Rattus norvegicus: one gene and its partner. The protein of the gene in region 2 interacts with the protein of the main gene of each other region in a biochemical or structural test. Links are inferred from orthologs where the notes say so. Each region holds a gene or a part of one and is shown on either strand. Other genes may lie near its edges.

Region 1 (4,904 bases), on a different chromosome or scaffold from region 2:
ACAGAACTGCCCTTCAGGACCAATTCAGTCCCTATGGTGCACAGCAGAGGAACAAGAGGAGGTAACGGGTATCCAAACTCTCAGGCAGGTATGCCCACCAGCAAGGGAAGGGCTAAAAAGGCTTTGACCTTAAACTAAATGGTGCCTTAAAGCCCCCTAGTGTCTACCAGCCCACAAATCCAGAAGTGTGAAGATGGGTGAGAATAGCCTACTTGACCCGTGTAACCTGAGCAGAGGCCTCTTAACTTGGCAAGCCCTTAACACAGACATTCCATAGAGCAGAAGAAGCCTTGGTGAGCAGCTGGGGAAAGGCTGCTTGTCAAATGTTTACCAGGCAGCCCCAGTGGTGGGCCAGAGCAGGGCCCACCTGGTGGTGGTTTCTCTCCAGGTTATCTCAGGGTACCTCCAAGGACCCTGAGTTCCAGTGGGCCTTGCTCACTTCCCTACCTCCTCTATTCTTCCTGGAAGGACCAGAAGAAATGCACCTGCTCCTTCAAATGTTTGTAGAAAACTACTGTGGGGGCAGGCAGCAGCCTAAGGGAGGTAGCACCCCAAACTAGTCTGCCAACACCCTCCCTACATGTAGTGCCCACAAGCAGGCCTGAGTGTCTGGGACTCTCTGGGTGTCAGAGGTATCAGACTAATGGAGGGGGGACTATAAGCCTACATGGGCCAGGTCTGACCACCTGGTGCCTCCTCAGCTTCCTGTGCTGCTAGACAAATGAATCAAGTTTAGACTGCTCCCTTTATCTTTTACCCACCTCCACAGTGATCTTGTGGGGACTACATAAGGCTGACTGCCTGGCCAGGCAAGGCTGGGCAGTAGCGTGAACAACTGGCAGGCATGATCCACTATCACTGTAACAGGGTCCCACATACTGTCCCACAACCAGCTGTTGTGGGTTTTGTTTTTTTTCTAAAGGGTAAAAGAGGAAGTCATTTTAACAGGCCCTCACTAAAATCCTGCAGGCTCCCCAGTACCTCAACTCCAAGCCCATACTCACAGTCCTCATCTATGTCCAGCCTCTGCTCCCCCCTTTTCAAGTCACAGTCTGACTTGGAATTCTGCCTATGCTAACCCTTCCTTCAGCAGGCAGGCTTCTGGGCCCTTTCTCAAGCTTGTCCTTTCTGCTGCTCTCCAACTGAGAGACCTGAGATCTCCTGCTCAGCCCTGGGATGGAGGCTCATCCTCTAGGAAGCCATCTCTGTCCCTGTCCTCTACATTCTGGGCAGAAGCTCTTTTGCACCAGAGCGAGCTTCATTCCCACCATCCCTGCAGCCTAGACTGCCCTCCCAGACCACTGTTCTCAGCCTCACTCCTCACCAAAAACCTCCCTCAAGTTCTCAAAGTTTCTTTTCAGCTCGAGAACTTTGTGTGTGTGATAAACTGGCCTTTACACCCCACAGTTCTGCTCTATCAGTGGTTGGGAAGTGGTAAACAGGGACACACAGCTGCTCCCTTGGAGCAGCCAAGTATACACTTATCTCTCTGGGCCAAAGAGACCAGACTCTGAGCCATCAGGAAAACTACTGATGAAAACTGAGTTGGAGGTGCCATCCCACTACCATGCCTCTATACACACACACACACACACACACACACACACACACTCTCTCTCTCTCTCTCTCTCTCTCTCTCTCTCTCTCTCTCTCTCTCAAATGAAACATTTTCATCTAACTGACACAGCCTGTCACTAGCCAGATGTCTCAGCAGCAGGTACAAACATTTTTCAAGTTCCTTTGATAAACATTATCTAATGTCAAACAACAAAAGGGTAGCCTCATCCTCTCCCCCACTTCATGTCTTTCTGTCCTCACCCAGCTCCTAACAGTCTCTCCCAGAACCCAGGGCTTTTCTCCCAGCCTTCCCCCAACTTCCTAGGAGTCTTCTGTCTTCTTCAATCCTTGTTTCGGAGGCTTGATTTTGTGTCCTACCCTGAGCACAGCTCTTCCTCGACACCTGCTTGGACCTTTCCCCAGTGCTCCTCTCTGCTTGTTCCCTCAGGAGTCTTGCCTGCTCCCATGCAGTGTCGTCTCCCCTTACCCTTCCTACACCCCAAGGCTCTGCTCTATCAGTGGTGGGAAGTGGTAAACAGCTGGCCCTCTCCTCAGAGCTCCTCAAGCTCTCCTGTCCTACCATCTTGGTCTCCCCACCAGCATCTTACACTCTCTGACTCTGCTTCTTCCTGGCTGGTAAGCCTTTCAGAGGGCTCAATTCTGAGCACATTATACATAGTTCATACTCACAACAAACTTCTGCAGTCAGTTAGTTTTTACCAATGAGCCCTTTCAGGGAAACGTACTCCCCTAAAATAAAGAAACCTCGGAACTACATCCCAAGCATGGGTTCTTCTGCTCCCAAGTTAATATGGCTGAAGATGTCGAACTTGCATAAACTTTGTGTGAGGTACCTGCCACCTCCTGGGTGTGTTCAGACCCCAGACTTGAGGACCTCTACCCTACTCTGATTCTCCTGGTTGCCTCATCCTCCCATAGCCATTTCCTTGACCAAACCAGTGTCACTGTCTGTTTATGGCTGCCCCCCCCAACCCCCAAGTTTCCACCTCTCAGTCCAGGTCTCCTTAGTTACTTGCCATCAGTCACTCTCAGCAGGAAGCCACTACCCTCACACCTCGTACTCCGGCTCATCATGCCCAGGGTCGCCCCAGCCCGGGTGCCCTCGGTCTGGTGTCCTCACCCCGGCAGCCTGGGCCGCACAGATCCACGGTTACCGGCCTGGGAAAGGCGCGGCTACCATTCAGCCACAGGGCCGTCAGCCACAGGGCCACCCTCAGAACCTGCAAGGCCGCAGAGGGGCTCCCAAAGTGCAGAGAGCAGAAGAGCCCGCTCTTCCCCGCCTTGGGCCCAACCTCGCCCGCTGCTCACCCAAAGAGGCCGGAGAAGAAGGACTGCGAGTTCTTCACCTTGCGCTCCGCTTCAGCCAGCAGCGCCATAGCCTCAGCCTGCTTCCCGGAGGTGTCCATGACGTCGCGCAGCTGCTCGGTTCAGGCCCGACACAGCCAAGCTACGACTCACAGGCCCGGGACAACGCGCACTCAGCGGAGCTCCGCCCGCTACGTTGACGTCACCCGGGTCTGCTATCCCACGTGAACCGTGAGAGCCAACCAGAGGGTTCAAGCTGCGAAGCACTCTCGTCCCGGCACGCCCCTCCGGCTACCGCACTCCGCACCTTGACCCGCAACACGTGAGCACACGCCCGAGGTCTGACGCTGCTAGCCTCCTAGAACCCTAGAGCGCACTGCCACGTGACACCAAGTAAGCCAATCATAAGCTCGCACCGCCAAGTGCCAATTTCTCCCCCACCCCCCACAAAACGCGACCTTTGACTCCTTCCAACCAATCAGCAGGCTCCATAGATCTGTTCCGCCACGCCTCGGCGGAACTGGGAAGCACTGATCAGCTGACCAGTTTCTCGGCGCTCACGTGACGCCTCAAGGTTCGTTCTCGAGGTTTGACAGACCCAGCAGTTTAGTTCCACCTCCTGGTTCACTTTACGTCTTAGTCACTTGGGAGTAACAGCTTTGTAGTAAAAAAGAACCTTCTAACTCCCTCTGGCGATCGTCTCTAGAATTGGCTTGCGGAGTCCAGAAGTTCTCCATTTCTAGCTGGATGGCTCAGCTGCTAAAGGCAAGTTTAACAACTATAGTTCGATTCCAGGGACCCACATGGTGGAGGCTGAGAACTGACTCCTCCAAACTGTTCTCTAACCTACGCACACAACGCGTTTAGAATATTTTGCAGTGCCACACACAGAATGGCACTGGATACCCAGACCCATGTAAAAAGCTGGGTGTGTCAGCGTGTAGCTGTAACAGGAATGGGTGAGTGGGAGACAGGCATATGCCTGGAGCTTGCTGGCCAGCAAGTCTGGCAGAATCAATGAGCTCCAGGGTCAGAAAGAGACCTGGTTTCAAAAAATAAGATGCAGAACAACTGAAGAAGACTCCCGACATCAACCCCTGGCCTACACATTAAACATTGTTAAAAATTAGTGAAAAAAAAGTCTAAATAAAGCATGGGCAGTTATTGATAGTGGTTCAGTAGCTGTAGTAAATACACTACACTATAGTAAGAGCAACATCTTACTATAAGAGAAACTGGCTATGTGAGAACTTTTGGTACTATGCTAGTTTTCTGTAAATCTCGTTATTCTAAGGCCCTGTGCACAGCGATTTCAGTCCCAACAGTGTGCTGTGGTGCAAGAATCTGTATTTCTTCTTTACTGAAGTTTACTGATTAGCAGAGAACATTTGAGGAAAGTGTTATGTGAGTTGAGTGTTGGGGGTCAGGAAAAGGCAAAAGACATCTCCCCACCCCCACCTCCTTCCCATTGAGCACTTTCCCAAATATACCTGTGCTCCCGACTGTGCTCTGACCCCGGAGCTGGTGAGTCTGGAGGGCCACAAGCAGTTATGGTTCCCCTTCCATTTGCTGCATGGTCTCATCTTTTTGGAACAATGAGCTGTGCAGCAATAGATGACTATATACCCTCAACCCATAAGGCCAGCTGCTTCCACTCATGGAGTTGGGTCCTTCAGGGTAGAGCAGTGGAATGCTCACTGCAAAGCAATGCTCATGTCACTGGGAATGCCCACCAAGAAAAGTGCATTTCCTCATTTACCCACTACACACATTGGGAAAAAATGTTCAGGTAGGAAGGAAGAGAGCCATTCTGGTTCCTGGGCTGCCCTGTACCCCTCATTTCCCTCAAACAGGATGTCTCAACAGCTCCAAAATCAACCCCCACCCCTGCTGCCTTCAAGCTTTAGCTGAGATGTTGAGACCCTTTCTGTAGTGCTGGGATGGGGCCCTGGAACACAGGAGGCAAGGCATGGCTCTTGCAAGTTGGGGTTCGTATAGATGTCTCTGACCTGATATGGCAT
Region 2 (4,726 bases):
GCCACGGCATAGATGTGCATGCTCAGAAGCATATAAATAGATATAAAAACAATAATATACTTTCACCTTTGTACTGTAAGTGCTTGAAAAAAGAATAAATTCATATGCATTAGCAGTGCTTTCAGGAACAAATTTTTTTTTCTAAAATGTATCACCCTTGACGATTCTTCTTAAATCTCTACCAAACTGATGCACAAACACAAGTGAATGCATAAAGCAGAGGAAATGAGTTAACATCTAGCACAAGTATCTACATGGTCTCATAAAGTGGACGTAAAAGATAACACTAACGCTTCATTTTTGAGACAGGGTCTTATTCTATAGCTCAGGCCGGCCTAGAACTCAGTAAGTACACTGGACTGGCCTCAAACATATAGTGATCCTCCTGCCTCTGTCTCCCAAGTCCTGGCATTCCAGGCATGTGCCAACACACAGGATACAGCATACTAACATAGTTACAATAAGAAAAAAGATAAAGCTGTGAGAGAGGGACACAGGTCTTCAGGGCAGAATAACAAAGTATCCCGACTTACAGCTAGAGATCAGAAAAGGCTTCCCAAGCCTTCTCTGAGTAGGAGAAAGAAAAGAAAGAGCCCAGCAAAAGACCTTGTGGAAAGAGAAACAACCAAAGCTTCGAGGCATCGAAAGGCTTATATAACCTGAGCAGACAGTGAAAGTGAGCGGAGAGAAACAGAACAAAACCACAAAGAGCCTTGAACGCCTTGTTAAGTATCTGATCTTGCTCCCAACACTAACCAGAGGACCGGTTTAAGCAGTAAGGGACTTGGGAAGAATAACCAGTGTGGAGGGTGGAAGAGGGACAGAATGCCAAAAGGAGGCTACTTGGAAACTTCCTGCAGTTATCCAGACCAGAAAGAGAAAAGGGGATGGAGAGGAGGACGCAGAATGGTTAGCTGATGGGGGAGAAGGTTACAGCAACAGCTGCGACTGATTCCAGTATCGAGGACGGCTTAAAGCAGCAATGCTCCCAAGCCTACCTTCTCTGGGCCCTGATTAAATCCTTCATTTTCTTTAGTGTGCAGGTAGGAAGATAGTGATGACTTGTACAGGGGATGGAGCACGGGGATGTGGCAAGAGGGACAGACAGTAGGGATGGGAAAGGCTTCTGGAACCAGTGGAAAGCAGGTAGGATGGTTCACGTCTGTAATCCTGAGTCAAGAGACTCCACGGAAGCTGGAAAGCCAGCTAGCTTGGCATAGGCAGGGGCAAACAACAAAAGAAACCCTGTCTCAAGCAGGGTGCGTGGCAAATATTAACTCAATGTTGTCCTTTGACTGCCACATGTGGTTATGCGTGTACCCCTGCCCCCATACACATACCCCATACCCGTCAGGTGAGGATGCCATTCAGTGAAAGGAAAACAGAAAAATTACCAGGTAGGTAGGCTTAGATCACAGCTTTGAGTTTAAACTAGAGTTCAAATAGTCTTCAATTAGTATTTATTTATTTATTTAATTTGAGTCAGTGTCTATGTACTCCTGGCTGTCTTGGAACTCACTATGTGGGTCAGTCTGGCCTCAAATTGTCAGAGATCCTCCTGCCTCTGCCTCAACCTCTGCCTCTACCAGGGGTTAAAGACGGGTATTCATCCTTGTTCTTGATTTCAAATAGCCACTTTTACACATCAATTTGGAATTTAGAGGGCAGTTCTGTAGAGGAGGGGTGAAATCTTGAGAACCTCAGGCATGCGGACTGAGCTTTGGCTCAGAAGGGATTACCTGAGGAGATAAAACAGAGTGTGGGAATTGAATGACAGGGTGGAGGGGTGAGTCTGCAAGCGAGATGAGTCAAAACAGTATCGAGGCATCACAGAAGCCATGGACCAATGTCTTCCATTAAGGAGGAGACAGGCAACAATGTCAGATGCTCTGAGACATCAAGTATAACAAGGATCGAAAAAAATGGGCATTCATTTTAGGGATGCGTTTCAGTCTCACTGTGGTGGGTCAAGGAGGGAGCAGATGGTAAACAAATGAGAGACAACACACGCAGAAAAGCACCAGAATTTGTCACTCTAAAATGGGAAGAGGAAAAGTGACATCTGTGGGGGCAGAGGAAGGGTTTAAGGGACCAATGCATTCCAGAAGGGCTGATGATTCAGAAGAGGGGCTCCTGAGGAGGCAAAAATAGTCCCTAAAATACAGTTAGAAGGGCCAGCCTGAGAAAAATGGGGGGTTATGAGAAAAGAAAGAGAAAGAGATGAACCCAGACCTGTGACCTCTAAGGTCTCTTTGGGACTCTAGAATCGCATGACCTACAATTCTCTTTAGACAGGACATTTGCATATATGCATACATGTATGCAAACTTATTAAAATATTCAGGTGAAGTAAATCAGTCAAGCACATCGTTAGTCTGTAATGACGCAGTTAACGTCCCCAGGTTTCAAACAGTTTAATCTCTGGGCAGGATCCATCCATCAGAGCTCTTAGCTCTGATGCATATTGCAGTAACAGCAGTGACCTGGCCCCATCTCTCCTCATCAACCCCAATCTTACACCACGGTCCTACAAGCTTAAGGAGGAAGTAAAATGTAAATCCCTGAAGCTACAACACAGCCTGCTGCATTCGAAGCGACTGTCATTTAGAAAAACAAAACGTGACACCCCAAAACCATCTGCACGAAAGACATTGCTGCTGCTTCACTCGACAGTTGATAGGTTTCTCCCCAGGGGATGGTCTGAGGTTGGCTGTAAAAGTAATTTGCAGCCCCCACTCCTCTTTTCATAACGTCGTTCATTTAGGAAGAACGAGAAATGGGTTCCCACACCCTCGCCCTGACTGCAGCAGACTACACCCCGCGGTTATCCGGCAGTGCCACCTCAGAAACCCTCGGAGGAGTGCGGAGGGCACTCAGCGCTCGTCAGAAGGGGCTCCAGTGGCCACTACCCTCAAGGTGCTTGGAGGACGAGAGAAACGAGCCCCAGGAATGGCAAGGGAGGCACGAGAGACCCGGGGGACGAAGAGACAACCCTCGGGGAGGACAGAGTTTCTGAGCAGAGCTAATCCCCTGCCGCAGTTGCCCTGCCTCGCCTCCAGCCTTGCTCTGACCTCCCTTCCTTCAGCGTCTCTGGGTGCTCAGCCTCGCGCCCCTTCCCCGGAGCCCGCGTGGACCTCGCAGCTGTCCCGACCCGGGCGATCCGCTGTGAGCCCGGGTTACCCAGCCGCCACTCACCCGGCCCGCCATCTTCGCGGACACGTCCTGCTCCCAGGCTGCAGCTCCGCACTCTGCTGAGCCCGCCCCCGCCGCGCGCGTGCCCGCCTGCAGCCCGCCCTCGCGCAGGCGCGCAGCCGCCGGGAGGCCGCGCCCGCGCCCAGTCGCGTCCCCGGCGCCCTTCCCCAGGACGTGCGCGCGCGCACGGGACGAGCACCGCCATTTTGGCTGAAGACAAGCTAGCCGGCTCACCCTGTTTCCACAAAGCCATGTCAGTTGACCACGTGGCTTTAATGGAAAGCCAATAGCCAAAAGCTGGTTCTGAATTCGGATTCTCTTCGATCCCGAACTTTGCAGGCACACGAGTTTTGAAAGTGAATCATAATTATACATGTTTTAGCTTTATGGTTCGTTATTTTCACTTATAAGCACAATTAATATCTTTTTAAGGCTTTTTTTTTTATGAGCATTGGTGTTCTGCCTGCAGGTCTGTGCCAGATCCTCTTTTTTTTTTTTTTTTTTTTTTTTTCCTTTTTTTCGGAGCTGGGGACCGAACCCAGGGCCTTGCGCTTGCTAGCAGATCCTCTTTTTTTTAAGATGTATTTTTATGAGTATACTGTAGCTGTCTTCAGACACACCAGAAGAGGGCATCAGATCCCATTACACCATGTGGTTGCTGGGAATTGAACTCAGGACCTCTGGAAGAGCAGTCAGTGTTCTTAACCGCTGAGCCATTCCTCCAGCCCTGCCAGATCCTCTTGAACTGGAGTTACAGATAGTTGTGAGCTTCCATATGGGTGCTGGGAATCGAATTTGGGTATCCTAAAAGAGCAGCCAGTGTTCTTAACCACTGGACTATCTCTCAGCCCATACAATCTATATCTTTCATAGTCTTTTTTCCAGTATTGTTTCATTATTAAAGTATTCTGAGAATAAAATTTGCCCTAGGTTCCGTCTGTATATGAGGAGATACTTGTGTGTTTGAGCCAGAAGATAAGAAGACGTCTTCCTCGATCATTTGTCCACCTTATTTTTCAAGACTCGATCTCTCACTGAACCTTAAGTTCATCTCCTAGACTTTGCTGGTTAGCAATTTCCGGGGAATCCTTCTGTCTCCACCTCTATAGCACTGAGATTACAAATACCTGCTGCTGAAGTCACGGGTGCCAGGTATCCTGACTGAGGTCCTCCCCTACTCCAAAAGCACTTTATCCTAACGCTCAGCCTTCTCCCCAAACCTGAGTTCAGTCTTAACCTCCATGCTGCCTTCCATCACAGCATCTCTTCACCGGAATCTCAGAGGGCCTAACATCAGGCTGTAGGAAGAAAGATTCTACATTAGATGCTTGTTCATGTTCCTTTTTGAATTTTGCCTGAGACAATAAGGAATGTTAGGGTTTTGCCTTAATTTCTCATTGAAGAAGATGAGGACATGACTGCTCCAAGGTTAATGAGAAGGATTTTGTTGGAGTTGTGAGGGAGAGCATACAGACTGAAGACCGATAACAGAATAGGTTGAGTCATGAGAGGACCAAGAGAAGAGAGGAATAGA

The links.
Region 1: the proteins of Nsf (region 2) and Napa form a complex in vitro, tested with the Homo sapiens proteins (2 studies listed by BioGRID). The link is inferred for Rattus norvegicus from reciprocal best matches to the Homo sapiens genes NSF and NAPA.

Annotation. Positions count from the first base shown.
Region 1 is NC_086019.1:85,913,560-85,918,463, reverse strand, and holds the start of Napa (alpha-soluble NSF attachment protein), read right to left. Parts: upstream 3,030-4,904; 5' UTR 2,985-3,029; coding exon 2,887-2,984; intron 1-2,886. UniProt on the Homo sapiens protein: Required for vesicular transport between the endoplasmic reticulum and the Golgi apparatus. Together with GNA12 promotes CDH5 localization to plasma membrane.
Region 2 is NC_086028.1:89,354,131-89,358,856, forward strand, and holds the start of Nsf (vesicle-fusing ATPase), read right to left. Parts: upstream 3,254-4,726; 5' UTR 3,208-3,253; coding exon 3,196-3,207; intron 1-3,195.